Alligator mississippiensis: one gene and its partners. The main gene of each other region encodes a partner of the protein of the gene in region 3 in a complex. Links are inferred from orthologs where the notes say so. Each region holds a gene or a part of one and is shown on either strand. Other genes may lie near its edges. The genes, in order: TIMM10B, TIMM22, TIMM29 and TIMM10.

Region 1 (7,123 bases), on a different chromosome or scaffold from region 3:
CGGGCAGGGGGGCAGACCCCGGCCCCACGCGGCCTGCACGGCAGAAGGGCGCTTTGCAGACGGATCCGGAGCCCCGGCGCGCGCACCTGGAGATATGGAGCAGGGCAGCGCCGAAGTGGGGCACGGCCTGGAGCAGGCGGGCGCCCAGGACCGCCTGGCGCTGCTGCATCCGCAGGCACCGGGTGCCGCGCTGCCAGCTGCCGGATGAAGAGACGAGAGCATGGGGCAAGGCCCGGCTTGCACCCCGCCATGCCGTGCCCTGCCCCGGCCCCGACACTCACCGGGCAAAGGCGGCGCGCAGCAGGCAGCGGCGGAAGACGGGGATGCCGCGCAGCAAGCCCCAGAGCACGGCCTCCCGGTGCCACGCGCCCAGCGCCAGCGCCTCGGCCCCCTGCCCCGGCTGCACGTGCAGCACGCCGAAGGGCGAGAAGACGTAGTGCTGCGGGGCCGCCCTCGCCTTGGGCACCGCGGCCAGGCTGTACGGCCTGCGGGCGACAGCACGGCTAGGAGGGGGCGCCCCGGCGAGGGCGGCGTCGTGCCCGTCACCCCGGGGAGCCGTTGGGGGGGGGGTGCAGCCCCCGGGAGCCGTGACCCAGCCCCGCCCGTTACCGGTAGTGGCGGCCAGCGGCGACGTTGAGGTAGGCGACCTCCGTCCTGCCCAGGGGCTTGTCCCGCACCATCGCCTCGGCGGTCTGCACGCCCGTGCGGGGCGGCGCGGCGCGGGGGGAGCCCGGCCGGGGCCTGCAGGGCAGCGCGGCTGTGAGCGCGGGCGCCCCGCGCAGGAGCTGGACACAGGGACCCCCAGGACCCTCCGGGGCGGGGGTGGGGGGCTCACCGCGACGGCCCCGGGCTGCCCGCCCCGTCGGGCGGCTCCATGCGGGCGGATGCGGGGCCGTTAGCGGCGGCGCGGGAGGGGGCGGGGCCAGCGCGAGCCCCGCCCCGTCGAGGCCCCGCCCACACGCCCGCAGCCGACTCGGGGGAGTGGGGGGAAGGGGGACGGTTTATTGCGGCGCCCGCTGCAACACGTTGGTGTCGGTCCCGGTCCCGGTGTCGATCCCGGCGGCGGCCTCGAGGTCGGCGGCGCGGCGCTGCACGAGGGCGGGCATGAGCCGCACGTAGGCGCGCATCAGGCTGTGGTTGGCGCGCACCAGCTTGACCGCGCAGCGCTCCACGCACGAGTCCTGCGGGCAGGAGAGGGGGCGGGGTCAGCGCGAGGGGGCGGGGCCAGCGGGGCGGGGGCGGGGCCGTGCGCCCGCACTCACCTCGGGGTGGGTGAGCGGCCGGCAGTCCATGTCGGCCACGCAGCGCGCGAAGCACAGCTCGGTCATGCGGTTGTAGAGCAGCAGGAAATCCCGCAGCTGCAACGGAGCAAGGGTCGGACCAACGGCTCCCGCCTCCCTTACCCGCCCCATCCTGTCCCCCCTCCACCCCCGGCACTGACACTGCGGAGCTGCTGCTGCTCCGCCGACGGCTCCATGCCCGCGCGCCGCCACTTCCGCCCTCGCTCTGACGCCAACTCCGCCCCTACTTCCGCCCTTCGTCCGCGTCAGGGGGGGACTCCCTTCCGCCCGCGCGCTGGCTTCAGTATGTCGTCACTTCTGTCCGCCTCCCGGCGCCCCCTGCCCGGGCTCTGACGTCTATTCCGCTGTGCGGGGGGGGGCGCCGGAGCCGAGCGGGGATCGGGGCCTCCCGGGGGCACCCGGCGGCGCCGGAGCAGGTGCGGAGCGGCAGCGGGAGCGGGAGCGGGCCCGGGTGGGGGTGGGGACAGGTGCGCAGGGGGCGGGGCCGGCGGGGCGTGGGGGCGGGGCCGGGGACGTGGCCGCGGGCGCGGGGCCAGGATTGGGGCCGGCCGGACGCACCCCCCCGCCCCCCCCAGCCCCAGGATGACGGACGCGCTGCTGGGCAAGGCGGCCACCATGGAGATCCCGATCCACGGCAACGGCGACGCGGGCGGCCTGGCCGAGGACGACGGGCTCGAGCAGGTGCGGGGGGAGGGGAGGGGAGGAGTGGGCCGGGAGGGGCACTGCCGCGGTGGCGCTCACCGCACCCCCCCCCCCCCCCCCCAGGACCTGCAGCAGGTGATGGTGTCGGGGCCCAACCTCAACGAGACCAGCATCGTGTCCGGCGGCTACGGCGGCACGGCCGAGGGCATCATCCCCACGGGCGCCGGCAAAGGTGGGGGCCCGCGGGCGCCGGGGGGTGGGGGTCGAGCTGCCCCGGGGACCCCCGTCAGCCACGCTCTCGCGTCCCCCTCTTCACCCCGCGCTCGCCCCCCCGGCCTGGCCCCCCCTTCCAGGCCGTCCCGCACGGCCTCGCTGGCCCCCGCCACCCTCCGTGTCGCCCAGCGACTCCATCGCCAGCCAGGCCGGCGCGTCCGCAGGTACCGGCCCCCTCCGCCCCCCGCCCCGGACCTCGCCACCCCCCCCGCCCCGGTCCTGCCCCCGCTCACCCCCCCGCCCGCCGCCTTGCAGGCGCCGGCCTGCACCCGCCTCACCCGGGCCCCGCCGCCGCGGGCGAGGAGGTCGTCAGGGGCATCGCCGTGGAGAAGTTCGACATCGTTAAGAAGTGGGGCATCAACACGTACAAGGTGGGTCCCCCCCCTGGGGTGGCCGCGGGGCGGGGGGGGGGCGCCTGTGCGGCAGTGCTGACGCCCCCCGCACCCGCAGTGCACGAAGCAGCTGATCTCGGAGCGGTTCGGGCGCGGGTCGCGCACCGTGGACCTGGAGCTGGAGACGCAGATCGAGCTGCTGCGGGAGACCAAGCGCAAGTACGAGTGCGTGCTGCAGCTGGCGCGCGCCCTCACCAGCCACTTCTACAGCCTGGTGCAGACCCAGCACGCCCTGGGCGACGCCTTCTCCGACCTCAGCCAGAAGTCTCCCGAGCTCCAGGTACGTGGTGGAGCCCGGGGTCCGCGGTCTCCGGGCCCCGCTCCCGTTCCCGCAGCACGGGTGATGGCTGGTGCATGGTGGCGGCTGGGCGGCGTCGGCCTGACCCTGCGCTGTGCCCGCAGGAGGAGTTCGGGTACAACGCGGAGACGCAGAAGCTGCTGTGCAAGAACGGGGAGACGCTGCTCGGCGCCGTCAACTTCTTTGTCTCCAGCATCAACACCCTGGTCAACAAGACCATGGAGGACACGCTCATGACCGTCAAGCAGTACGAGACTGCCAGGTGTGGGAGCCAGGTTTTGGGCTTGGAGAGAGATGGAGGCCAAGGGAGGGGTGTGGGGTGCAGATGTCAGGTGAGGGGCGCAGGGGTAGGAGGGCTGGGATGCTAGGGCATGGAGGGTGCTGGGGCTTGGGCAGGTGGGGACGCTCTCTCTGACCCCGGTCTCGCCCCTATCGGCAGACTGGAGTATGACGCGTACCGCACGGACCTGGAGGAGCTGAGCCTGGGCCCGCGGGACGCCAGCACGCTCTGCCGCCTGGATGTCGCCCAGAGCCAATTCCAGAGCCACAAGGACAAGTACGAGAAGCTGCGTGCGGACGTGGCCATCAAGCTCAAGTTCCTGGAGGAGAACAAGGTCTGGCAGGGGGTGGGAGGGTCTGTTCACAGCCCCCGGAGCTGGGCTAGGGGCAGCGCTGGGGGGTGGCCACGGGACACGGCAATAGCTGGGCGTTGGGTGTGGCGGAGCCTGGATGCCGTGTGCAAGGGTAGGTGGGACGGCAGGAGAGACCTCCCTGGCATCAGCGAGGTGTGGGACGCGCCTAGGGTGGGGATGGTCTTCGGTGGGGGGGGTCCCAGCACAGACTGCACAGGCGCTGGGAAGGGGGCATTGAGCTGCAGCGACGCCTGGAGCGTGCGGTGAAAAGAGGCAGCGGGACGCCCCAGAGCAGCCCCCACCCTGAGCGCCCTTGGACCTCCCAAGGACCCTGTGCCCAGAGCAGGGGCAGGAGGAGGCAGAGCTGCACCCGGCCGGATCGTGGCAGGAGACGCACCCGTGGGGGGACACAGCTGGGCGCTCGGGCTGTGCAGTGTGGGGTGGTGCGGGTCCTACTGGCTGGCCCCAGGGTGTAGAGCGGAGGCAGCGGGTGTTTCCCAACCTCCGGGCTTTGCTGCTGCCCCGTGGGGTTGGGTGGGAATTGTTTCCACCTCTTGCTCCTGGGGTCAGGGGTTTTCTCCCCTTCCTCAGCAGCAATGGGTGCTGATGCAGCCCAGGCTACGGATGGGGACTGGACTGTGTCGATGCTTCTGCCAGGACCAGCCCTGCAGGGCCTTGCCACGCTGCACTGGGGGCAGGCAGGGGTTTCTCCCGGTCAGCTCAGGAATAGCCCAGAGGTGGCCGGGCAGCGCTGATCTGCCCAGATCAGGGGCCAGGCCCTCGACCCTGCGCTAGGCGGCTGTGGGGGGGCTGTGGGGCTGACCCCTGCCCCCCTCGCCCCCAGATCAAGGTGATGCACAAGCAGCTGCTGCTTTTCCACAACGCCATCTCCGCCTACTTCGCTGGCAACCAGCAGCAGCTGGCGCAGAGCCTCAAGCAGTTCAACATCAAGCTCAAGACCCCGGGAGCGGAGAAGCCCTCGTGGCTGGAGGAGCAGTGAGCACCCGCCTGCCGGCCGGGCCGCCATGGACCTGAACTCTGACCTCTGGCCCCAGGCCAGGCAGGCTGGGCGTGGTGGTGAACATGGGGGACGTGGCCAGGTCTGACTTGCCCCTGCCTGGGCCCCAGCTCCGGGGTGAGCAAGGGCCTGGGCCCCTCGGGGCAGCTGCCCTGGCCAGCACTGCTCCCCTGCCAGACGTGGGATCCTGCCTCGCCCCCTCCTGCCAGCCCCACGGCAGTCCCTGCCCCTCCCTGCTGGGCATGGAGCCCCGCTGACCTTCCCCACCGGTGCCCGACCTGTGCAGAAACCCTGCCCTGTCCCGCTGGGGCGAGGGCTGCTGACACTGCCCTGGACACCTGGGTTCCCTCGCAGGTTGGGCTGGGGCTGGGGTCCTGGCCTCCTGGGTTTTGCCCTTGGCTTTGGCTCCGGTGCCAGAGGGGTGAGGGGTAGTTCTTGCACTCCATTCCTAAACGCTGCCCCCCACCTCTGGGACACACACTACACTCCTGCTCCCCTGCTCCCAGCTGCGCCAAGCTAGACCCCGGGGTGGGGGGGGGACAGGGGCCTGAACACTAATCATGGGGGCTGGAGTTCCCCCCCACCAGCAGATCCAAACCGAGGTTGTTGGGCCTGATCCCACGAGGCCTCAGGCTGGCGACAAGCTATTTGGGGGGGGCAGACCCACCCCAAGGACCAAACAGCGGCTGCGCCTGGGCCTGGAGCGTGTGCATGTATGCGCCTGTGCGTGCATGTGGCCGGCATCCCGGGGGGAGGGTTCGGATGGGTCCCCTGTACCCAAATTGCCTCACCTCCGCACGGTGGCACCTCCAGCTGAGGCAGGCGCAGCCCCCTAACACGGGCACTTTCTCCTGTGACACTAGGAAAGAAACGGTTCATTTTCGTTGCTAAATTAATGCCTCCACCTGACCCCCTTATGTCGGTCTGACCGCCCCCGGCCCCCTGTAACTTCCAGAATAAACAGTACGGTACAACGTCGCTCTGCGCCTGCTCGTGCCTGGGGCTGGGAGGACGAGGTGACAGAGGGGGCTGGCTGGGGAGCGGCCCCAAACACCTGCATCCAGATGCATGGGGGCAGCCTTGGCTGCCCTGCCACAGGGAACAGCATGGGGGCAGCTCTGGTGCTGCAGACACCACAGCCACCCCTGGAGCCGCATCGCTCCCCGGACGGGGCTGGGGTCTCCTGACGGGGAGGGGACCTCTGCTCCACGCCGGGGTGCTTGCAGTGCAACCTGGGGCAGGATCAGGCCTATCCAGGCTTTCCCAGGCCTCGGGGCCAGGCCCGCACACCCCCCGGGCTTGCAGGGGAGGCCGCGGGGTGCCGACTGCTTGTAGGACTGGGGTGCTGCACCTGCCGGGGTCCCCCCTCCCGCAACCACCCCCTGCCCTGCGCCCATTCGTGCCCCTGGGTGCGGGGAGGGGCCCGCCCGCTGCTCTAACCGCTGGAGCCCGCTGCCCGCGCAGCTGGACGGCCCCGGCAGGTGCGCGCGGTTCCCGCCCCCGCCCCCGCGCGGGGCTTCTCCGGCCGCGCGCTGCACGCGGGGTGCCCCCGCAGGGCTGGGTGCTGCTGCTCGTGCCCATGGCGCCCCCGCCGCCCCGGGCCCCGGTGCCACCCCCGCCCGCCCCGCCGCCGCTGCCCCCCGGCAGCCCCGCGCCCGCCCCGTCGCGGGCCCGGCTGCGGCTGCGGCAGCTGCACTGGGCGGCGCTGGGCGAGGCGCAGGTGCGGGGGCGCCGCACGGTGTGGGGGGCCGGGGCCGACCCCGACCCCATCCCCGTCCCGCTGGACCGGCGGCACCTGGAGGAGCTGTTCGCGGAGCCGCCGGCCGCCCCCCGCGGCCTGTCCCCCCTCGGCCGCCCCCCCGGACAGGTGAGCGCGGGGCCGGGCTGGGCCGAGTTGAGCCGGGCCGGCCGGGGTGCCGCGAGCGGTGGCTGCAGTGCCCCGTCTGCGTTCCCAGGTCTCGCTGCTGGATGCCAAGAAGATCCTGAACCTGGGCATATTCCTGAAGCAGCTCAAGAGGCGAGTGGGTCCGGCCGGGCTGGGGGGGTCCCGGGGCAGGGGGGCTCCCGGCTGACCCCACACCCCTGTGCCCCACAACACCAGGCCGCTGCGGCAGATCGTGGCTGACCTGCGGGACGGGGCGGGCGCACTGTATGGCGCCGAAAAGTTGCTGGAGCTCCGCAAGATGCTGCCAGACGCTGAGGAGGTGATGGGGCCGCAGGGGCACGAGGGGAGGGGGTCCGGTCCCCAGTTCCCCGCCGGGCTAACCCCCGCTGTGCCCACAGGCCCGGAAGCTGGCGGCCTTCTGCGGCAGCCGTGGACAGCTCTCGGAGCCCGAGCTCTTCATGCTGCTGCTCACCGAGGTGCCCGGGTGAGCCGGCCTGGGGCAGGGCCTGGGGGTAGCACTGGGGTCGGGGAGTGTGGGCTGGGGGTGTTCCCATAGGGGCGTGGGGCAAGGGCCAGGGGTAGCACAAGGCACTGGGGGTGGGGGGGCAGGCACGGGAGTCCAGTGAAAACTGCTGCAGAAGCAGGACCTGCCTAGCCCCCCGACCTGTGCTCACCTGCCCTG
Region 2 (7,179 bases), on a different chromosome or scaffold from region 3:
ATGACACAAGGGCTTTAAAAAATGCCAGCCCATAGCAGAAAGCACTGCTGTGTCTGATACCAGAGGCCAGGAGAAATTAAGTGGCTGTAGCTGGGGTGGCAGAACCACCCTATCTAAGAGACAGTCTCCCTTTTAAAAGAGGATGTATGAAGTACCTGTGTGCTGGGAAACTAGTGTGTGTTAGAGAGAGAAAACCCCAAGCCCTGCTCCTTCACTTCATCAACCCCTCACCCAGACCTAGCCCGAGCCTTGGCTTGCACTTGGTAAAAAGTGCACATGTGGCTCAGAAACTTGAGCAGCTCTACTAAATTAAAGCATATTGCACCGTGCAATTTGCTGTCTCTTGGGCTCTCCAGCCCCTTGTAAACAGTAATTAAACTGACAATGTAAGGGAGAGCTAGGGAAGTACCATCGCCCCTAGTTTAAAGATGAGTAAAGAGAGGAAGGAGAGGAGAGTCACACTGCCAAGGTCAGCGAGCAAGTCAGAACAGGGAACAAAACTTAGGAGTCCCAACTCCTAATTTCCACTGCTGTCCATCTACTGTGAGTAGAAAGAACGGTTTGGAAAAGGTTCTGAGTTACTACAAGAGGTGGGACAGGGGCTCCGATGGGAAGACAAACTGCAAATCTGGCTTCATGTGCCAAGGACTCTGCAGAGATGCTTTGCAAACCGCCGTACAACCTGCCACCACTGCTTTCTCTTTGCACGGGGCACTCTCTCTTCCAGACGAGGTGCAAGCCCACACTAGCGCTGCAGGGAATGGAGACCAGCCGTGGCCTCTGCAGACATCCAGACCTACACATGCAAGGTAAGCAATGCTGGCGAGATGGACGGTTCCTCAGCAAACAGCCTAGTAGCATCCGCCACTGCAAGCTGCCGGGTGCTGTGCATCCTGCCCCAGCTCCCGGACCCACATTATCAGGTCAGAGTCTCAGCATTCACATGAAGCTGGAAAACACGACCCCTCAAAACTCAACCAGCAGAAGGCAGATAAAAAGGGCTACTTCTAAAAGCTGATGCTTGTTGAGGCAATTGCGCCACTCAAGAGGTCTACCATGGTCTTGCGTATTTGTGGCGTGCAATACCACGCAGAGGTATGTGAGCAGGGGGCACACTTTGGCTCAGCCAGGTTTGCACCTCTTGAGAAAGAGGCAGTGGCGGCTTAACGAGTCACAGGTAGCTACGAAAACAGCCCCATATGCAGAAGTGCTTGTAGCTCAACCGTCCACAGTCCCAGAAGATTATAAAGCTGGCAGCACTGCTGCTCAGAACATTTCTGGTGTCTGTCTCCAGGGGAGCACAAGAGTGGGAGTGAGAGTGAAAAGAATGAGAGAACCAGATTCTTTCCGTCTCCATCTGCAACCACTTCCCTCCCAGTTAGATCACTTCAGCAACAATGCTGGGATTCGGATGACTGCTCACTGACCAAAGATGAGTCCTGTGAAGACCTTCACTGCAGCAATACCCAAAACAACCCCCCGAGACTATGCAGAAGAGGGAGTCAGCTTCCAGTTGAGGAGCAAAGTATGCATCTGAACCAGGCTTCCCAGCAGCAGTATTATTTCTGCATTTTATATCCCCCCGGCACTGCCCTATGTTTCTATATTCTGCAGTGAAAGGTTGAATGTCATTGCTAAATCTGCCATGAGCGACTGGTGCCTCCTGAATCTGGGGGGGCACCTGCAGAAGCCACCGACCCTGTCAAGGGGGGCATCAGCCCTACCGACAGCATCAGTGTCGGCTGTCAGGAGGGGCACCGTCCCTGTCAAGGGGGGCACGTGCACCCCCGTGTCCCCCCTACCAGTCGCCTATGAATGTGCCAATCCAAGCCTGTTCTCACCTAAGAGCTCCTGTGGTTTGCCCTCTAATGGACCGGAGCAGAGAGCTCACGAAGACCTGTAACAATCAGCACGTGCCCGCTTGGGAATATAAAGTAAGGACTGACCTTTATGGGCTATCACAAGCATTAGCAGGAAACGAGACAAAGTGCATTTGGGACTACTCAAATCAGGAGCATACAGCACAAAAAGACAACAGAGGCTGGGACGAGATAGCAAGCAAGAAGGGTCTTTGCTTCTAGAGAAGTTTGGAGCGGGCAACTCGACAAGTGCAGGGTTACATTTATTCCAAGTTTGCAAGAGCTTTCAGTGCTCTGGTGGCCTCAACCCTGCAAGCGATACATGGGTGTCTGAGTTTGCTCACAGAACAGTCCATTGAAGTTGATGGGATGACTCGCGTATTTAAGCATGTGCTGAAATGCTTGGAGGGGCAGGCCCTTGGTCTGCATACAGGAAACAGATCTGCAGGCAAAGGATGAGGAGAAAGACATCCTGACGTTCATACTGAAAATAAATCAGTACGGTGGGGAAAACAGCAGAAAACTATCAGCGCATACTCTCCTGGGGGTGGGGGAGCATGTCTGATATTATCACAGATTTAGCCAACAATGTGTTCGGGGTATTAAAAATCGATCCTGAAACGCCCACCTCTGCTACCTGAACGAGAAGAGACGCTCAGTCGCACGCACCATCGAGGAGCCCCAAGTCCTTCACCGGGCATTAACAACGCAACCCAGCACACACAAACACATGTCAGTTCAGCATATTCCCCAACAGTGGCGGGGAAAACCTCCAAAACACTACTCCAGCTGCACAGCCGAGCTCTCGGTGCCCAAATCCCAACCCCAGCACATCGCAGGAAATAGCTGGGCTTTGCAATGTGGCTCGAAGGCCAGCCAACGCGCACTGTTTAGGATCAAAGGGAAGAGCGAACTTCAGCGCTCCCTATGGACAGCATGCTGCTAGCGGGTCCTTCTCGTTAACGTAACGAGGCTGCTGTGCTAGGACTTCACATCTCTCTGCAGCCTAGCAGCTGCTGAAGCGCTTTGGTGACGGAGGGAAAAGCCCGGAGCCTCCAGCAGAGGGCAGGTCAACTCCACCAGGACCCTCGCCGGGCTTCACGTGTGAACGTTTGAAGGCACCAGCCACCAGACCCATTTACCACGTCAAACCTGGCGTCACCGGCTTCTCCAGCTCGACACGCGTGTTACGAAGCACCCCGACGGTCACGCCAAAGGGTCAATGACTCCGAAGGACCTAGTGCCCTCGGGCAGCCAGGACCCCCGGGCTACGTGGCACCAGGCCGACCCCGTCGCTGTCCGCAGACGAAGCGTTTCAGCAATGTTGGGAGGTGCTGGGTAAAACTGACGCGCTGCATCAAAGCATCGTGTCAGTATCTTCGCAGTCGCTCCCCATCTTCTCCTCCAGGCCAAGCCCCCGAACCAAGACTTTTCTTATTCCAGTAGAAATCGATGCAGGGCAAAGGGTCAATATACCGGCAGCAGAAGCAGGGGTGCAGCGGGGCTCAACCCCCTGCTTCCCCAGCAGTGTCCGAGCACCGGAGAACCAGAAAGCCGACGCGACCCAGCCTGGCTGCCCCCGAGCGGGGACGCGCAGCCCGGGCCCCCAAGGGCACCGCTAGCCGGGGGGTCTCCACGCTGGCAGGGACCGCGGGGCCGTGTAGTCTGACCGCCCGACATCACCTACGCTCAGCGCAAGATGAGCCGCAGCCCCAAGCCTGCCGCAGGCCCGCCGCCCACGGCCCCGGGCAGACAGCCAGCGCCGGGCGCCTCTCGGCCCAGCGCCCCTCCGCGTGCGCCCGGGGCGGGGGCAGCCATGGGGGCCCGGCTCCCACCCCAGCGCCCCCACCCCGCGCACTGCTGGTCTCCCCGCCCGCTGCAGCGCGCTGGCGCCATGGCTGCGCCTGGTAGGGGGGCACGCCGGGGCCTGCCATGCTGACCTCTGCACCAGCCCCCGGGCACCCCTCAGCACCTGTGCTCTACCATGCACCCCTCACACCCCTCAGGCACCCCCCAGCCCCATGCACCCCACAGGCACCTCACAACCCCATGCACCCCTCACACCTCCCATGCCACCCTCATGCACCCCACAGCCCCATGCACCCCACAGGCACCTCACAACCCCATGCACCCCTCACACCTCCCATGCCACCCTCATGCACCTCACAGCCCCATGCACCCCTCAGGCACCTCACAACCCCATGCACCCCTCACACCTCCCATGCCACCCTCATGCACCCTGCAGCCCCATGCACCTTTCAGCACCTGTGCACCCCTCATGCACCCCTCAGGCACCTCATAACCCCATGCACCCCCCAGGCACCCCTCATGCCACCCTCATGCACCCCACCCCACCCCGCTCACCTGCCGCCTGGGCTCTCGGACGCTCCCCGGCGACAAGGACCCGACCCCCCGCACCGCCGCTCCCGGCCGCCAGGGGCCGCTAGGGGCCGGCGCCGCGGGGCTCCATGGCAGATGTAGTCCGCCCCCCCTCAGCGCGCCCGGACTACACTTCCCAGGAGCCCCCACGCGGGCGGGGCCGCGGGGCAGGCCGGGAGGCGGCCCGCGCCGGCCAATGGGGGGCGGTGCCGGGTGCGGGCGCACGGCCCATCATGGCGGCGGCGGCGGGCGGCGCGTCGCGGCCCGAGGGGCCCGAGGCGGAGCCGCTGCAGTACAGCGCCGTGCTGCAGTACCTGGTGGGCGAGCGCCGCGCCCCCCGCGCCCTGCCCGCCGCGCCCCCCGCCGACTCCCGCCTGGCCGAGCGCCTCGCCGAGAGCTGCGGCTTCAAGGGCGCGCTGGCCTGCGTCGGAGGTGCCCCTCCCCCTCCCCCGGCTCCCAGGGGTGGGGGTGCCCCGGGGGGGGGTGCCGCGGGCGGGGCGGGGCGGGGCGGTGTGTCTGACGGTGGCGCGCTGCGGCAGGGCTGGTGCTGGGCGGCGCGTTCGGCGTGTTCACGGCCGGCATCGACACCAACGTGGGCTTCGACCCCAAGGACCCGCTGCGCACGCCCACGGCGCGGGAGGTGCTGCGCGACATGGGGCAGCGCGGCGTCTCCTACGCCAAGAACTTCGCCATCGTGGGCGCCGTCTTCTCCTGCACCGAGTGCCTCGTCGAGTCGGTGAGTGCCGCGCGGGGCGCCAGCGCCGCCGCCCGTAACGCCTCGCCCGTAACGCCGCGCGTCTCTCGCCCCGCAGTACCGCGGCAAGTCCGACTGGAAGAACAGCGTCGCGAGCGGCTGCATCACGGGAGGAGCCATCGGCTTTCGAGGTGGGTCGGGGACGGGCCCGCGTCGGCAGGGAGACACGGGGAAAGGCTGGAAGCGGCCGTCGGACGCGGGCCCCTCGGCTCGCTTGCAGCCCCTGGGGGCCGTCGCGCGTAGAAAAGCTGGTGTTTTCTCCCCTCTTTAAAAGAGACCCGCCCAAAAATCGGTGCGGGAAGCGCTCCCCTAATTATGTTCGTTATCCACATCTGAGACAGGATAACGCTCCTTTCTCCGGACCCGGCCAAACGCGTCTGCGGCCCTTCGGGAGCGGAGAGCCCACGCGTGGCCGCGTCCATTCCTCGCGCGAGTCACGAGTGCGACACGGGCTGCGCGGGGAGTGTCACTGAACGGGGTCTCTTCTTGCTTTGCAGCTGGTTTGAAAGCAGGGGCCCTCGGCTGCGGAGGCTTTGCCGCTTTCTCTGCGGTGATCGATTACTACCTGCGGTAACGGCGGTGCCCAGCTGCAGCGGGGCCACCAGGCTTGTCCGCCAGAGCAAGCCGGATGGTGCCTGCTGCGTGTCCTACGCAGCTGACGATCGGCCGGCCCGTAGCACAACTTCTGGCACAACAGCTGGAGCCTCCTGGAGCAGGGCCCGGCTCAGCGGTCAGTATCCTCCGAATGAATTGGCCGACTGTGTCCGTTTCCAGGAACGGAGCCCGCTTTCCCTCTGCCTTCCAGGCCCTCTGGGGTCTGACTGCTATCAAACGCATCGCCTCCTTGGAAAGATCCCTGCAGGCACTCCCTGGATACGGAGACTCGGCTGACCCATCTCGTGACTTGCTGCAGATGTTTAACGGTACCTGGTTTGCAGCCACGGCTCTGCTGGGAAGCAGCGCGGTATCGTGGGGGAGAACGCGTGGGCTCCAGCTGACGGCCGATGCCTGGCTGCGTAGGTCATCTTGTTTCGGGGACCTGGGAGCTGGGCGTCCCTGGGTTCAGCAAGTCCTCGTGCTGTTTAACGACTGGTCGCACTGAAATAAAAGCTTAATGGAGAGAAGGCCTCGTTCTGCAGTAGGCTGATGTCTGACCTGAATTAACCCTGGCAGCTGCACAGTCAATAACTGTTGGCCGGCAGGGCGGGGAGGCCCCTGTAATGACGCCCTGCCAGGGAACAGCAGCGCGGCGGGTGGTTAGTGGCTCAGCCGGTCCCGTGACAGCACAGCGCTGCTCCCACCCACCAAGGAGATGCAGCACTTCCTGCAAGAGAGACTGTGGGGAGGGGGCTGGAGCCTGCCGGGCAGCCTGCGCCACCAGTCCAGGCTCTGGTACGGCAGGTGCAGCTAGGAAGTGCGGGGGCCCTGACTGCAAGAGGCCCGTCTGCTGCGCCTGAGGGTGCCTCTGCGACACCGAGCTCCGGCACCAAGCACAGCACAGCGATGGCAGTGTGGGCTGCAAACTCAGCCAATTAAGCTGAGGGGACACGTGGGCGGCTGGTTCTTGCCACGCCGTGCCCTGGCGGCAGTGGCATGAGCTGGGTAGGCGCATCCACATGCCCTGCAGCTGCTCTTTTGTGGCTCTGCAGCCCCAGCTAAGCCTGCCTGCAGGAAGGGGCATGGGAAAGGGGCCCTTTGCAGCTCGCTGCGACGGGCGGTGGCAGCAAGCTCTTCATCCGTGTGCAGCAGGTTGTGATGCTGCCCTGCCCAGCCACGGGGCTGGAGCTGCACAGCAACACACCAGTGCACAAACTGCTTCCACAGCTCAAGCCCGCGTGGCCCCAAAGTGCTGCCCTGCAAGAACAAGCGGGACTGGCCCAGGGGCCGCTTTACCTGTCTGCCTTGACGGAGAGGCATCTCGCTCTGGGCCGGGCCCCTGACCGCCCCTGTTCCAGCGACAGCCGTGCGATGGGCTGAGTGCTCCTCTTGGAAGGAGGCTGCTGTATGGTCTCCTGTCTCCATCAGTTCCTCTCCCAGCTGCAGGGTGGAGCGGGGTTGGCAGGTTTGAGAGCCGGGTTTCTGCACTGCCTTCTGGCGCTCCTGGCTCAGCAGGGCTGCAGTGTCCCTGAAACAAGCAGCTGCAGCAGGCAGTCTCTCTTGAGGCTGGACTAGTTCTGGGCCCTTGGA
Region 3 (6,797 bases):
CTCTAAATGCCTGTGAACTGTGCACTGCCCGCCAAGTCATAGCAGGTCCATGCCCCTGGGCTGCCTCCAGGTTCAGGGAGAACTGCAGTGGGAATCTCTGCACCTTTGTCTGAGAGCAGCAGTACCAAGGAGTTTTCCTTAGCTCTTTAGCACCCTCTGCTGTTCCCTGAGGAGCTGACAGAAGGCTCAGACTTGGGTTGGGGGCTACAATACAGCTGAGGCTCTATGCAGAGGATAGAAGGCAAACAAGACCAGCCCCCTTGGAAGTGATGCTGCTTGGGCCACCTCCACCCCAAACAGACGTTTTGGCTGATGTTGCCCCAGATGCCCTGGAGCCTCAAATACTCCCCAGTGACCAGGGGCTTTGGTTTCACCTCATTCCAACTATCACAGAGCTGCAAAAGTCACGTGGGCCCTAGCGGATTATCCACCCAAAAGCAAAGGCTTCCCTTTATGACTCACCTGCCCTGCCCCCCAAAACTGGGCTGGGCACTGGGGGCAGCAGCAGCAGCTCAGAAAGGAGCGTGCCTGTACATGCCACCTGTACCATTTTCAAGAGCACATGGGTCCCTGTTACCAGTCTCCCCTCTGAGCACTGGATCTGAACTCATCTAGAAGAGACAGAAGCCCTATGGAGCGACATTACCCTGGAACACCTCTAAGCCAGTGGTTCTCAACCTTCTTCAATTCAAGGCACACCTTGATAGAACCTTGGAAGAGGTCAGCTCTTAGCTTCCACTTGATTTTTCTTACACAAAAATCACGGAGCAGTTTTTCTGTTGCAGAAAACACAGAAAGATCTGAACAGGTCAGAACATTTTGCCACTCTGGATTAATACTTGAAACCTTTCTGCTTATCTTGTCAATCCTGTTTGCATGTCTAACAGCACTAACATTGTGTAGCACCTCTGAAAGGATCTTAAGATGCCCCAGAGTGGTGCAGGGTCCCAATCAAGAATCACTGCTCTAAGCACTGGGTTGGCATGGTACCCACAAGAGGCAAGGCAAGCCCATGGATAACGCATCCCATAGGTTAGTACAAAAATCACAGCAAACGTAAGAGCCTCCGCATCCTCTTTATTGAATGCCAGTGCCACCAAGGCTGGGAAATCAGCATGCAACAAGGCTGAGGGGTCCAACAAGAAACAATCCCATAGTAAAACCTATCTGAGCTTCCATATCCACCCTGGCTCAAGCAACCGCTGCTTGGTTCAGGTTACTGGTTTGTGACCCCCTGAGGCAGTGGCTGCATCTCCCTCTCTGCCTGCTCGATTTGTTCCTCTGTCAGGACAACAGGCTTGTATTTCTCGCCGAACAGTCTCTCATTAGTCTCCGAGTGGAGGTTCTGGAAGGAGATGATGCGGAGCTGCTCTGGAAGGTTCTGGAACTCCTCATCATTGATGTCAGAGTCCTTCATTTTGGCATTTAAAACCCACCAGCGCCCCCAGAACCCCACATCCAGGATGCGGCCTGGAAACTCTGTCCAGCGCGGCTGCAGGTGCTTGCACTGAGCCAAGTACAGGTCGGTCTCTGCGTCGAAAGGGGCCTCATACACCAGGGAAAAGAAGACCAGGCTCTGGTAGCGCAGCTGCCCCCAGTTCCTCAGCTGCATCAGGCGCTGAACGTGGCCCTTGGAGGTGGTGTTGCAGACCCAGGGGGAGAGGAGGAGCAGGGTGCCAGAGGCCTCGAGGAGGGAGGCATCGAAGGAGGTGTCGCTGGGGATGCGGAGGCTGCAGGCGGCTGCCCCGGCCAGCACCGAGAGGTAAAGCCCGGCTTTCCCGGGCCGTTGCCGGGCACCCACAACCACCTCCTTACAGGCTTCCACATAATCGTGCAGGAGGCTCTTCCACCACTGGCCTGCACAGGGGCAGCAAGGTCAGATGCTGCTGGCTATCAAGGGCCCAGCCCACCAAGGGGCGGCGGGTGCCCGCGCTGGGGAAGCCGACGCTCTGGGAGGGACCTGCAGCTACGCGCGGGGCCGGGATTAGAACCGAGAAGTCCGGGCTGCCAGGCCCTGCGCCAGCCCCTCCTCCCGTGGGAACCCGGGCCGCTGCCTCCCCCCCGGAAGAACCCAGGCGTCCGAGCTGCCAGGCCCTAGCCCCAGGAACCCAGGAGCCCTCCCCCTCCAACCTACCCAGGCGGCTAGCGCCGAGCCGCCCCCAGAAGCCGCGCCTGCCCCCCCGATCGAGTCCCGCGCCGCTCGTGGTGTCTGCTACCACCGCCATGGCGCCAACCGGAAACTGTTTCCGGCCGGAGGGGAAGTGGTGCCGGACCGGACGAAACCATCCCGGAGCTCGGGGGGGGGGGGGGCGGTTCCCCTTTCCTTTCCCCCCCCCCCCCCCCCGGGAGTGCGCGCGGCCAGGCCGGAGAAAGGGACACGCAGCACTGGAGCGGGGGGTGCCCGGCTTTGCCAGGACACGTCACTCCTCCCTGTCGTGCTCCCCTTGCACAGCAGGGCCCCGCCTCGGGGTGTCTCAGGAGCTCGCGCCTCAGTTTCCCCCACTCCCCCCCCCGGCCGTAACAAGCCTTCGTCTCCCCCAGGAGCCCGGGGTGCGCTGATGCTATGGCGGCCTCCGACCAGCTCCGCTTCCACGGTGAGCAGGCGGCCGCCCTCGGGGAGGTCCCGCCGGGCCGCGAGGGGACCGGACCCGGCTGCAGCAGGTGTTTTCCCTCCTCCCGCGAGGCCTTGGGGCTCTGGCGCCCCCAGAGCCCGGCCGGGCCCCGCGCCGCCCTCGGGCACTTACTGGGCGGTTGGCACGAAGCAGGGACGGACCCGCTGCCCTTGGCTTCCTGCCTCCTGGGACCGCGGGTACCCCCCGGCAAACCTCCCCCTGCCTCTGGCCGAGAGGCTCTGGCTGAGGGAGCCTGGCGTCTGCGGGGCATCTGCCAGTCCCTCATCCACGCGCGTATCCCAGCAGTTTTCCTGGGAAGGGGCACGGCGCTGGCTGGTGTGCTGTTCAGCACCCCCCCCTTCCCCCCCCCCCCCCGAGCACTTGCTAGCGGCCCTTGAGCCTGCTCCCTTCCTTGTTTTTTCTTTCGTTGCCCCAAATACTCTCGTTAGGTCTTCATAGGTTTGCCTAGTGGAGGGAGGTTTATAGCTCCCGGGTGAGCCAGGCCCACACTCCTCTGGGCATAACAAATAGGTCTGCCTAATGGAGACAGTGTGGTCTGGCAGTTAGAGCATAAAACTGGGACCTGGGTCCTTCTGGCCAAGATAGAAGTACCTTCTGTATCATCGTAACGAGGGTGATGAACTCCCCAGCTCCTTCAAGGCATGACACTGGGAGGGTGCAGGCTCAGGAGTGAGGGGCTGGACTAGGCAGTGGCCCCTGAGCCCTGGGCTGTGATGGCTGGCGCTTTACCCCTGCAGAATTTGATGAGGCCGCCGACCTGCTGGCTGCAACCCCCGATGCAACAACCACCAGTGTCAGTGAGCGGCAGAGCCATGTGGCCCTGGATGTGGGCTCCAGCTATGACGAGAACGAGGAGGGCGATGAGAGCGATAAGACAGAGGTCGGGGGCAAAGCTAGCGTGCATGGGCAGGAGGGTGGCAGGACTAGTCTGGAGGGGAGTGCTGGCTCCAGGTCGGGCCCAAGGTTGGCTGGGGCAGGGAGTGTGCACTAGTGGAATAAAGAGCCCTTCACTTCCCAGCCCTAGGTCCAGATCCAGCCTGGGCAGCTGTGCCTGGGCTGTTCCCAGCTGCTGCTAGCTGTGGAAGCCATCGGGGTCCAAGTAGATCAAGTATTTCTACCTCAGTTGTGGCTCTCTCTGGAGATGGGGCTCCTGCCTGGCATGCTGGGTAATCCCAGTTGCTTGGAGCAGCTGGGGTGGGGTGCACTGGTCTGGGAGGGAGCTGGGCTCACAGTTGGAGGTGCTTGGGGTTCTCTGTGGGTAAGGCTGGTGGGGCCGCGTGGTAACATACATTCCCTTCCTCGCAGCTGCTGAGCGGCCAGAAGCAGCCACCAAGTTTCTGGACCTTCGAGTACTACCAGGCCTTCTTTGATGTCGACACCTACCAGGTAATGGAGCCTGCGCCCTTGTGGGAAGGCAGCATTCTGACACAGGCAGTTAGAGATGCTGGCAGGAATGAGTCCCATAGATTCATGGGTTTCTCAGCTCCCAGAGGCTTTGTACATTATTAGGTATAGTATGGTAGCACCTGAGAGCCTCAGTCGCAGGCCAGAGCCCCATTGCACTAGGGACTGTACATTATGTATTATAATCATATTGGGAAGCCCCCACCTAGGACCAGGATGCAGCTTTGCTCTCTGGTTGCTGCCTGGTGAGCCCAGAAAGCTGCCTGCCTCACTCCACTCCTGCTTTCTTCACTGTAGGTGCTGGACAGGATCAAGGGATCGCTGCTTCCACTACCAGGGAAGAACTTTGTGCGGCATTATCTACGGAACAACCCTGACCTGTATGGTGAGCCCAGAGGGGGTCCATGATGTGGGGCAGGCCAGGGCAGTGCAGGCTGAGCCCTTTTGGCCTCCTGTGCCCCAGGGCTCAGGTGCCATCCGTCAACCAGAGCAAAGCAGGGCATCTTTGGTCTCTGGCTTCTGCCCCAGCCTGGGCTCAAGGTCGCACTACCCTTGGCCTCTTCCAGGGCCCTTCTGGATCTGCACTACGCTGGTGTTCACACTGGCCATCAGTGGCAACCTGTCCAACTTCCTGGAGAAGCATGGCAACACCTCCTTCCGCTACAGCCCCCAGTTCCACAAAGGTGAGGGGTAGGTATGGGACAGGCAGGCATGGGCCAGGCCCCATGAGAACCCACCAGGCTCCTGGGCAAACTTGACCCCTGCCAGGCACAAAGCTTTAAGTGAAAAGAACCTAGGAGTCTTGGCTCCCAGCCCCAAACCACAAGACCTCCTTCCTCTCCCAGTTGTGGGGGGAACCCAGGTGTCAAGGTCCTCGGTTCCCCCTGCTCTAACCCACCAGACCCGTCCCTTCCCACAGCTGGGAGAGAACCCAGGAGGCCTGGACCCCACCTCTTGGCATTTGAGTCTCAGCTTTGAGCTGATTCACTGTTGGCTGCTTTGCTGTCCTAGTGCCTGTAGCATGTACCGTGGGTGGTGGTTGTTGGGGGGGGGGGGGAACAACACAAAAGGCCCCCCCAGCTGGCTGGCTGGCCGGCCGGCCGCAGAGCACTGGGTGACAGGAGCCCATCCATTGGCAGTGACCATTGCAGGCGTTGCCATCTATTGCTATGCGGGGCTGGTGCCGCTGGCCCTGTGGGGCTACCTGCAGTGGCGCAAGGGTGTCTGCCTCAATGTGGCCTCCTACACCCTCCTGGAGACTGTGTGCGTCTATGGCTACTCCCTCTCAGTGTACATCCCTGCCTCGGTGAGTTTCCTGGGCCCCAAATCCTCCAAGGGGATAGGCTGAGTCTGGTCATGGAGCTGCCCTCTTGGGAAGCTGGTGGGGGTAGGGAACTCACCCCTGTCCCCTCTGCCATGGGCACCATGTCCTCTAACCCCTGGGCCCAGCTCAGCCATTTTAGCTAGTTGTCTTTGCTGAGACTGAATTTCCAGCCTGTTTGCTCCTGCCCTGCTATTTACCTCCAGACGTGGCGCCCTGCTCCCATCTGTGTTTACCTTCTGGGTGGTGGGTGCCCAGAGCTGCAGGCAGGGTCCCTGGTGCAGTGTAGACTCACAAGTATGAAGGCAGCTTAGATCCCCAGGGCTCCCTAGAGCCAGAATGTGCCATCCAGATCCTGGCCTGGACAACTCCTGCATCTCAGAACTGTGGGGCCCATGATCCTTGCTCATGCTTACCCCCTCCCTGTCCCGGTCTTGAGCAGGTGCTGTGGCTCATTCCAGTCTCCTGGCTGCAGTGGCTGCTGATCGCCACCGCTATGACACTCTCCGGGTCTGTGCTAGTTCTCACCTTCTGGCCACTCATCCGCTTAGACAGCCGGGCTGCCACATTGGCTGTACTGACCATTGTCCTCGCCCTCCACGCGCTACTGGCTGTAGGCTGCAAGGTACCCAAGGCCCAGCATCTTGTGGGGCAGAATAGGGGAGACCTATGCTTGGGCAGGGTCATGGCAGCTGTTGCTCAGTTTGGGTCTGGTGTTTGTTCTCTAGAGATCCGGGGGGGGGGGCACGTGCCTCAGATCTGGAACCAGGGACCTAAGCCAGGTCCCCCCACCCCCATTATGTGTACTTCTCGCTCAATTTCTTCTTGCAGCTCTACTTCTTCCAGAAGCCAGTATATGCTGTCCCTCTCCACTCTGCCTACACTAAGGCTCCAGGGGGGGCACAGCTACTTACAGCCTCTCACCCCCGCCTCAACAGCTCCATGACTACCCCCCTCCGTTTCTGAAGGATGGCAGGTGAGAGCTGGCCAGGGGGGCATGGGGCAGAACTGGTTCCCCCTGTGCCCTAGTTCCTGGCCAGAGAAGATGCCCCTAACTCTATCCCCACCACAGCCAGGGTTTCAAGCAGCAGCTGAGGCACCTGTTATGGGAACATGGGACAGACTCTGAGGAGCAGGACCCTGGGGCACGGTGGTCTCTATGCCAGGGCATGACAGGTGCAGCCCCCTGGAGACCCTGTACCAGCTTGGATTCACCCTTGTACTGCTGTTTCAGACTTTGGAGGACCAGCCTCTTCTCTTTGCCTCTAGGGCTGTGTGAAGCCATCAGCCAGCTCCCCAAACCAGTTCAGATGGATGCTCCATCACACCCGCTGTAGCTCCTTCGACACTGACCAGCCCTGTTGGTAACACATGGCAGCTGCCTGCTCTCAATCTCTCCTCCAGGCTAAAGCTCCACTCTGCTTGAGCCCAGCCCGTTC
Region 4 (8,639 bases), on a different chromosome or scaffold from region 3:
TATTTTGATGTACTTAATGTCATCACAGCTACAACACAACTCTTATACTATCAGTTTATTTCATGTCATATATAGAAATCTGTGGTGGACAAAGCCAAGAATTAAATGCAACCTGAAAAGGCTTTTTTGGGAAGAGTCCCCCAATGACTGAGTGGTGCGGTTTGGGGTGACCTGTAATGCCAGTCCAAAATCAGCTCCTTATTTGGTGCTATGTACATAGCACAAAACTGGGGGGGGGGCAATAGTCAAGAGAGAAGCACACAAAAACCAAGCTTTGGGTTGAGCAAGGGCCTATCCAGGCTTCCTCAGGAGAATATTCCAGTGGCAGAGACATATGGTTTGGAGTGACCCAAAAAGGCTTTTCATCCATAATCCCAGCCCAAAATCACCTCCTTATTTAGTACCATGTAAATACATGGCCCAGGGAACCATTAGTTGGCAGGCTGGCACGCAAAAACCAAGCTTTAAGTCAGGAGGAGCTACCCAAATTTCTTCAGGACAGTCCCCCCGGGCATGGAGATGTATGGTTTGTGGTGACCCAAAGTGGATCTTGCCCCATAATCCCAACCCAAATTAAGCTCATTTGGGGAAATGTACACCACACACATACCCAAGGGGCTGTCAGTTGGCAGACTAGCAGTGAAAACCAAACTTCAGTTCAGCCAGTGCCCTGCTCAGACTTATTCAGAAGAAACAGCTGAAAATGTGTCGTTTGGGAAGACCTGAAAATGATTTTGCTTCATAATCCCAGCCTAATCTCATCTCCTTATTCAAGGCTATGTACTTGATACGTGGTATAATTTTACAACTTTAAATTATTTAAAGTTAGCTTTGAAAAACCAGCCATGAACCAGGAATAAGGAACTAGAGACTGAGACTAAAGAACTGGGAATTAGGAATCTTTAGCCTCACCCAAGGGGCACACACAGACCCATCCTCCCCACTAAACTTGGCTGCCCTTTTGGGGAGCTGCCAAAAAATCATGCTCCTTACATCAACTCCTATCCCCTAGAGGATTAATTCCCACTAGGCTTTGAGGGTCCTGCTCCTCCCCACCCCCAAGGAGCTTAGTCCATATAGTCTTCAATGTCCGTCTCTCTAACCTCCAAACACTTCTATCCCTATTTCCATTCCACCCCTGCTGTGCTCCCTCTCGGCTCTCTCGCCCTAACAATCAAAGGCTAGAGCTAGACAAAGCCAGGCCAGTAAGGCCTTCCCCCTGCTGTTTGCTATCCCTAGCCTCATGCAACCCCCTCTCAGTCTCCTCCAACACAGCCCCTACCCTCACTTGCTGCTACAGCCTTGCTATAGCTGTCCGTACCCCCAAGCCAACCTCAAAATCCCCCTCCCAGGTGCCTGCATAGTCCCCAGTGCAAACAAAAGCTGCTGTACACATAGTTTTTCCTGCCAGCGAATTCTGAGGAAATCATCATGCAGCATCTTCCAGGAAAACCAGACTGAGCCCCAAGAGGACTGAATTGCATGCAGTAAAAATAACTCCTAGCCACTCCCTGGAGGTCACTGGGATTAGAAGCTTCACCCTCAGGCTAAATGGAGCTGCCGTGTAATTAACCACAAATCAGAAACTGGGATGAGAGAAAGGAGGAAAACACCAATTAGGAGCCAGGCTTGTAAAAATATTTACTAAAGCCATGAACTGAAAGCCAAGTGAAACTCCCATGTGCTTTCCCCAGCAGCAGCATGCCCCCTGCTGGCCACACATAGCAGCTACAGCCATCAAGGATTGCAAGGAAATTCTTCAGATTACAGCCAGCAGTTTGCCTCCCCGAACAAAAATGCAGCCATCTCTGGGGGGAGGGGGGAAAAGGACAAGGGTTGCCCAACAGAAAATAGGAACAGGCTCTGTCACAGAGTTTGGAGCTGAAAGTGAAAGGCAAACTGCAGCCAGGAGGGGATTACTCAAATCTGACAGGGGCATGCTGCTCTGTGAGAGTACCATGGAGATTTGATGAGCACAATACCATAGGGAATATACATCCACCTGGAGGCAGTGCCCCCTGCAGCCAATCCATCATGCTATCAAAGGGGTAAAAGAGCTGGGACGAGGGTTCTAGCCCGACCTCCTGCAAGAGGACACTTCATCACAAACTACCCTGGATCAAGCCTTTGCTCCATTAGTCAATAAAGAGACACCACTAGGATAGGATTGGGACCTCATCCCTATTTGGGACAATGCTGCTCACTAGGAGCATCATCTGGGAAGGGCAGAGATAGGACCTCATCCACTCAGCAGGAAACAGCTAAACAGCGAATCTCAGCACAGGATCCCCTTGTTGGAAGGCAGAGGCCCAGTGCTGCTCATACAAAACTATCAAGGCTTTATTGACAGGGGACCCAGGGCTGAATCTAGGCGGCAGTCCAGTGCACTCAGGGCCTATCACACTTGCTGTCCAAAGCTGAAGAGGGATTCTTAAACCGCCCCAGCCCCCTGCTGAATCCGCTTCATCAGCTCCTCATCTTGCATGGAGAGCTCTGTCAATTTCTTGCCCATGCGTTCATGAATGTCCAGGTACTTGGAGACACAGCGGTCCAGGCATACAGACTCCCCTTTGGAGAGCTCAGCCTCCTTGTAGTGGGGGGGGACACACTTCCGGTGGCAGGCATTGGTCATCCTGGGGTACAAAGGAGGGAGACATTATGAGAATCTCTACACGCCCCTGCTCACCAGGCCAGTCTCCTTCACACACAGCACAGCAACCATTCCAGACATTAGTTCTTCCCCCGCCCCGCTCTGTGGATACCTTAAATGGCCACTGCACCTCCCCTGCTACTGCATCCTAGGCTTTCCTTTCCATATGCACACAGCCTTGCTCACACTCCGCAGCCCCATCCCCTTGCCATCACAGATCCATACACCCCACATAGCTCGACCAGTGTATTTCCATCCATTCACAGGCTCTCTGACATTTCAACTCCAGGAACCTGCTCACATACACACAGCTTTGGTGATGCATCCTGCAGGGGCCCCCCAGCAAGGAAATGGACACATGAGATATTCCTGCACTTGAAAGTAGGAGTCCTGTGGCCTGCAACAGCCCACAGGCAGATATTTCCCTCTCTCTTCCTCCCCCCAGGCGCTTAGGAGCACGGAGTAAAGCCCAGAGCCCTGCAGGGGTCTTTGGACGGGGTCATGACCTGTTGTACATGTCAGCCATCATCTCCACCTCCAGCTCCGCTGCCAGCCGCTGCGCCTGCACAGGATCCATCGCCTAAGCTCCGCGTCCCGTGCAGCTGAGGCAGGGCCGGGATCTCCTGGAAAGGCACAAAAACTGTCAGTGCTGCCCCAGCCCCGGGCAGCGCCCAGCTACACCCGAGGCGGCGTCAACGACGACCCCAGCGCACCCGAGGCCGCGGGGACCCCGAGGAGCTGGCGGCGCCTCCCTACGGGGCAGCCCCTGCACCCTCTGCACGGAGCGCGGTCAGACCCCAGCAGGGGAGCAGCCTTGGCACCGTGCTCCCCTCCCGCCTCGGCCGCCCCATGCCCGTGCGCAGGGGCCGGGCGAGGGCAGGAGGCCACCTCCACCCCACCTGCCAGCCGGAACCACGTGGGGCCACCAGCACTTCCGGGAAGGAGGCACCCCCCTCCCCGGCTCAAAGAGCGGGGAGAACGTCATTTCCGGCAGCGCAGCGATTGGGCGGGATCGGGAGGCCCGGCCTGCCAACCACAGAGACGCGCGGGGGCGGGGTTGGGAGGGAGCAGGAGCGGGAGCGGGCACGGGCAGGGGGTGGGACTCCAGGGGCGTGGAGGGCTAGCCGGGAGTGGGGCGGGGCATGTTGCCATGGGGACGCGGGGGCTGGGGTTGACGTGCCTCTGGGGGCCGGGGAGAGCTGGCGGGATGTGCGTGCTGCAAGCCGTCTGGGCCTCGGCGTGGATGTGACCGCTTCACTGAACAGCTGGAAGCATTGTCCTCTGCGAGAGCACACAGCCGTCCCCGCCCTGCGCTCCCCAGCCCCAAAAGCAACCGGGGAGGGAGCCTGCATTTCCTGCAGGGCCCCTGCTCGGAGCAGCCTGGAGGCGCCACGTGCAGCATCTCTCCTCGTGCGGGTCCCCAGGGGCGAGGGGGCGCTTTCCTGCCCTGAGCCGCTCTTGCTCCTCGTGCAAGACGTGGCGGCCGCTGCAGTCCAAGGGCGGCCCCCAGCTGCACGGGGGTGTTGGCAGGGGAGGCAGGTGCTCCGATGTGGTTCAGCGTGATGCTAGGTGATGAGTCGGGGTTGGAGTTTAAGTCAGACAAGCTAGTTGTGTGACTTTGGGGGCAGGAGTTGGCACGACCGGGGGACCCGGGATCACAAGGGTCGTGGATCCCTCGCACAGGCCATGGAAGAAGCACAGCGATGACTTGGACGTCAGGGAGCTAACGAGAGACTTCCCTTATGCTACGGCCGGCAGCACGGCCAGCCTGTCTGCAAATACAGCAAAGAAGTCAGTTTAGCTTAGCATGGCTGTGGGTTGGGAGCAAGGGGCACTGGCAGGGTGGGGGGGAAGGTGCTGTGGCTTTTAGTTTTGTTTTACATTTAATTTCTGAGGCAATAACACTTGTTATTTACTGTAACAGTTACAAAGTGCCTCCCCTCTCCACAATCATATACAGTTGTCCTCTTTAGGACTAATGCCCAAGCTTTCTATGGTCAAGGTTGCTGCCTAGCAGCCTGCTGTGCTCACTCATAGCAGTCCCCAAAAGGTTTCCAGGCTTCCTCAAGCTTTGACTCTGCTCAAGGAGGAGTGACTGGAGAAAGGTTAAGGAAAAGGCTTTATAGTGTTTATGATATGTGGAGGGAAGTGGGTCTTTTCCTTCACTGGACAGATGGTGGCTGGACTTTACCTTCAGCTAAAAGCCTGCAGGCCTGCCCCCTTCATGCCAATAGTCCCTGTTGAGGAGAGTGACAGCCACATCTGAAAAAAATGGCTAGAAAATTGAAGTATCCATCAGTTTTGAAGGCAAAAGGGACACGGATAGGAATTAGGTCTGATTTCCTGCAAAATGGGCCAGAACGTTCATTATGCTCCTCGTATTCTCATTGTTGGCACTGCACAGGATCTGTGTGCCTCGCCCATCTCGAGGTCTTTATAGGTACATGGTGGGTGCCAGACCATCTCCCAAGGAGCTCCCAGTGAGAACAAACAGGGTTCAACACTGTTGTTCTGTGGCATAATGAAATGCCCAGGCTGTTTAGAAAGGAAAGGTAGGGTTACAATATTTCCAGTTCCAAAAAAGAGAACAACTGTATATGATTGTGGAGAGGGGGGGACACTTTCTAACTGTTACAGTAACTAGCAAGTGTTATTGCCTCAGAAATTAAATGTAAAACAAAACTATAAGCCACAGCACCACCCTCCCCCTGCCCTACCAGTGCCTCTTGCTCCCAACCCACAGTCCCCCATTCCTCGGCTATGCTGGTACCCCTCACTCCCAACCCTTAGCCCCCTGTCCCTGCTGCTGCCCCTCACTCCTGACCTGCAGACCCCTGGCCCTGCCAATGCCCTTCACTTCCAACAGCACCCTGACCTCTGGGCCACGCTGGTGCCCCTTCCTCCTCACCCACAGCTCCCCCCCATCCCTGCTGGTGCCCCACACTCCCCACATCCCCCTAGTGCAGACAGTGCCCCGCACTCCTGACTCAGTCTCCCATCCCCCACAAGCCACAGCCTCCCCAGCTCTGCCAGTGCTCCTCCTGACACACATCCCCCTGTTCCCACCAGCCCTGCTGGAGGGGGCCCCAGCTGCCCCTGTCCCTGATTTATGCAGGCAGCTACACAGAGAGTCTGCCCCTGGTGGAGGGAAGAGGAGGGGAGGTCTGTGGCACGCCATTTAACAGCTCCCTGGGCCTGTCTTGTGTGAATGTGGATAGTCCCTTTCTGGGTATGGTAGTAGTATTTCAAATTGATTAGCTCTGATGGGACTTGAATCCACAACTTTTGAATGCCTGGTAATTGCTAGGAAGCTAATGCACCAGCCAGGGCACCACAGGGTTACTTGTGCCTTAAAATAGTGCAGCTTCCCAATCCAAGTGAATACATGAACTCAGCAAACCATCACAGTCACAACAGTTAAACTGTATGTGATTCAATTTCAGTTTAAGGAAGGTAGGAACTGTTTTCAAAACCACTTCTCTATCTGCCTGGTTAACACAGGTAGTACATTTTCTGTGCAGGGGAATAAGAGAGTCAGTACCCCGAGTGTGAGGCTCTTGCAAAGGAAAAACACAGGCTGTCTTGTGCTGATGTTGCTCTTCAGCCAGTGCGAGGTTGAAGAGTTGTGTTCATAGCAGCCCTAGTTTTTGGTTCAAATTGGTGCCCTCCCTCCTTCATAGCCCAGTCTGTGATCTGGGCTGCAGTGAAACTGATATTTTCAGATGGTTGAGGAAAGGCTGACGGGCATCAGGTTGCTTGGGTCATCAAAATCACCTGTTTTATGAAAGAGTACAGTAACAGTCTTCAAACTCCTGGCACCCATTGAAGAGCACTGCCAATACAAAACAGCCTGGGTCATTCCTGTACAAGAGCCCCATGCTTCAGGCATTGGCCTCTCACACTCACCACCCTTCATTACAAACCCTTTAAAGATAAAATTATGCCCAGGGTGTTTGGGAGGTATTTCAAGAGGCAGAAACTGGACACAGTGGGATACCACAGGGCCTGTAGCTGGAGAGAAAAGTCCCAAGAAAGTGCCTCTTTGGAGAATGTGGGGCCTGTGTGAAGGGGAGGTACCCTGAGGGGGCTGGGGCAGCTCATAAAGATTTTTTTTATTCCACATTCTCCATTTGCACATCATTCAGGTAAGCACTGGTGAAATGCTCATGCTTCTTTGGGCAAACTCTGGATGATGATCTCAGACTCTCAGGCCAGGCTTTCTGCTTCTCTTTCATTGCTTCAGGTATGGCCACGAGGGAATAGCCAAACTCCACAATGTTACAGGATTTGCTTCTTGTTCACATATTTATACCCTACATCATGTGTGGACACCAGCTGGCCAGCCACATCAAACAGTGGGGGGCCAGAAGACACTCCCTCAACACCCAGAAGAAGCAGGTGTTTTAAGTGACAACATTGAGGTTGTTGACTACCTTGTGGAGATTAGAACTTCTCTGGGTGAACATGTGGGTGCACTCCCAGAACCTAGAGCCAAAACTGTCATCATTGCACATTTTGTCATGCTGCACATGATCATGACATACCTGGTCACACACAAACTACAGTACAGCTGTCAACTGATTTTTCCTGCCCATCTACATAGCCAAAAATAGATTGGACTGTAAGTGGCATCAAGTAAGTTAAGTGCAGGAAACCTGCTAGTATCATGCCAGTCTGCTTCTCTTTTCAGTGTTAGGACAGCAAATCCAGGACCCTATATTTCAAACAAAGGTGCCACCTCTAGCCAGCTGTTCTCTGGGGCGTGTTCATCTTCATAAGAGAAAGTCACCCAAACAGAGCAATTGGTTATTGATGGCCAGTCCTTCCTCTCTATACCTGGGCCAGCAATGAGACTTACCAAGTTATAGCAGATGAGTATATATTTGCCCTGTAAGACAAAGTATGCAGCAGAGCCTCCCTTTCCATTGCTGACCCGCTGTATGCACCCCACCAAGTTACTAAGAACACTAAGGCATTTATACACCCTGAGAAGCATGGAGTTCTTCATTTCCTTCCCCAAAATCTTCTCTGTGTGGCTTTCACACTGCTCCTCCTGGATTGCCCAGGGCCAAGGTTTCCACAAAGCCTTGTTGATCACTGTGCTTTGTCTCTTCACATTGAGATGCTGGCCTGGGGTAGCGTGATTGTGGGGGATATGGGTTCTCCTTCACTGTTCTCTCCATGGTTACGTATCCCTGGAATCAGGCCCTGGCTTAGCCAGTCGCTGGTGTGAACCTCTCCCTGAGAGCACCTCCTTTAGCCTGTTCCTGTGGTTGCCACAAGGCAGGGAGTTTGTCTTCTACTGTCCCCCATCCTTCTGGCAAGACTGTGGCAAGGAGCCATTTTTGCATGGGGCTTTTTTGGGAGTCTCCCCTAATGTAGACAAAGCACAGATTAATGAGCTGTTGACATCAAATACTATTTTTTTCCAGCTTTGCAAACCCCTGCTCTGCACATTGCAGTCCTAGTGGGTTGTGGCAGACTGGTGGAGTCCTATCTCACACCTCTCTGCTCCCTGCTCCCTGTGCAAAATATCACTGCAAGATGGGATTCTCAAATGGGCATGTGAGTGGTTACTTCAGTGCTCCACCTCCTCCTTACCTAGAAGGTGCATCTCCTTGCCCTGGTCCTTGGCCATCTCCGCATGAGCATATGCTGGAGCTGTCCAGGCTGTACAGCTGTTCTGGGGGTGCTGAACTAAACTTATGGGCAGCAACAGTGGACCAACCATTAGAAAAGGTCAGACCTATTTCTACAGTGTTTTATACCAACACTAAATAAGTCCCCCATTGGGCACAACCTTGGCAGAGGAGCATGGGTCAAGCTGAACAGACTGAGATCTGGATATATATGCTTCAGAACAACACTTCACAAGATGAACATTTTGGACAGCCCCCTGTGTGAATGCGAGTCCAATAAACATCACAGCATTTAATTGACGCTGCAGTCTCTACAAATGCCCAGAAGGGGTGGATAGAATCCATATATT

Evidence for each region.
Region 1: TIMM29 (region 3) and TIMM10B share a complex: the UniProt entries of both Homo sapiens proteins name them as parts of the TIM22 complex. The link is inferred for Alligator mississippiensis from reciprocal best matches to the Homo sapiens genes TIMM29 and TIMM10B.
Region 2: TIMM29 (region 3) and TIMM22 share a complex: the UniProt entries of both Homo sapiens proteins name them as parts of the TIM22 complex. The link is inferred for Alligator mississippiensis from reciprocal best matches to the Homo sapiens genes TIMM29 and TIMM22.
Region 4: the proteins of TIMM29 (region 3) and TIMM10 are in contact, whole or in part, in a cryo-EM structure (PDB 7CGP), measured with the Homo sapiens proteins. The link is inferred for Alligator mississippiensis from reciprocal best matches to the Homo sapiens genes TIMM29 and TIMM10. Residues at the interface, in NP_612367.1 of Homo sapiens: Asp181, Asp183, Ile184, Asp186, Phe189, Leu192, Leu196, Arg197, Val199, Gln203, Leu204, Ser206, Asn209, Glu210, Leu212, Phe213, Asp214; in NP_036588.1 of Homo sapiens: His30, Arg31, Lys32, Cys33, Pro35, Pro36, Leu43, Ser44, Lys45, Gly46, Glu47, Ser48, Val49, Arg53.

What each region holds. Positions count from the first base shown.
Region 1 is NC_081824.1:483,428,084-483,435,206, reverse strand, and holds TIMM10B (mitochondrial import inner membrane translocase subunit Tim10 B), read right to left. Parts: upstream 1,582-7,123; 5' UTR 1,478-1,581; coding exon 1,442-1,477; intron 1,359-1,441; coding exon 1,263-1,358; intron 1,182-1,262; coding exon 1,002-1,181; 3' UTR 983-1,001; downstream 1-982. Other genes in the region: DNHD1 (dynein heavy chain domain-containing protein 1), read right to left, coding at 87-197, 282-485, 610-741, 836-876; ARFIP2 (arfaptin-2), read left to right, coding at 1,884-1,982, 2,067-2,175, 2,472-2,587, 2,667-2,888, 3,011-3,168, 3,346-3,520, 4,383-4,538; FH2 domain-containing protein 1, read left to right, coding at 6,136-6,423, 6,512-6,573, 6,658-6,760, 6,840-6,925. UniProt on the Homo sapiens protein: Component of the TIM22 complex, a complex that mediates the import and insertion of multi-pass transmembrane proteins into the mitochondrial inner membrane.
Region 2 is NC_081837.1:1,934,465-1,941,643, reverse strand, and holds TIMM22 (mitochondrial import inner membrane translocase subunit Tim22), read left to right. Parts: upstream 1-4,456; 5' UTR 4,457-4,471; coding exon 4,472-4,670; intron 4,671-4,777; coding exon 4,778-4,974; intron 4,975-5,050; coding exon 5,051-5,123; intron 5,124-5,489; coding exon 5,490-5,566; 3' UTR 5,567-6,116; downstream 6,117-7,179. UniProt on the Homo sapiens protein: Essential core component of the TIM22 complex, a complex that mediates the import and insertion of multi-pass transmembrane proteins into the mitochondrial inner membrane. In the TIM22 complex, it constitutes the voltage-activated and signal-gated channel.
Region 3 is NC_081831.1:23,573,553-23,580,349, forward strand, and holds TIMM29 (mitochondrial import inner membrane translocase subunit Tim29), read right to left. Parts: upstream 2,247-6,797; 5' UTR 2,226-2,246; coding exon 2,135-2,225; intron 1,858-2,134; coding exon 1,217-1,857; 3' UTR 1,058-1,216; downstream 1-1,057. Other genes in the region: protein YIPF2, read left to right, coding at 2,564-2,594, 3,371-3,513, 3,939-4,019, 4,335-4,422, 4,604-4,720, 5,177-5,343, 5,801-5,983, 6,190-6,324. UniProt on the Homo sapiens protein: Component of the TIM22 complex, a complex that mediates the import and insertion of multi-pass transmembrane proteins into the mitochondrial inner membrane.
Region 4 is NC_081825.1:172,671,323-172,679,961, reverse strand, and holds the start of TIMM10 (mitochondrial import inner membrane translocase subunit Tim10), read right to left. Parts: upstream 3,629-8,639; 5' UTR 3,550-3,628; intron 3,274-3,549; 5' UTR 3,228-3,273; coding exon 3,157-3,227; intron 2,634-3,156; coding exon 2,432-2,633; 3' UTR 1-2,431.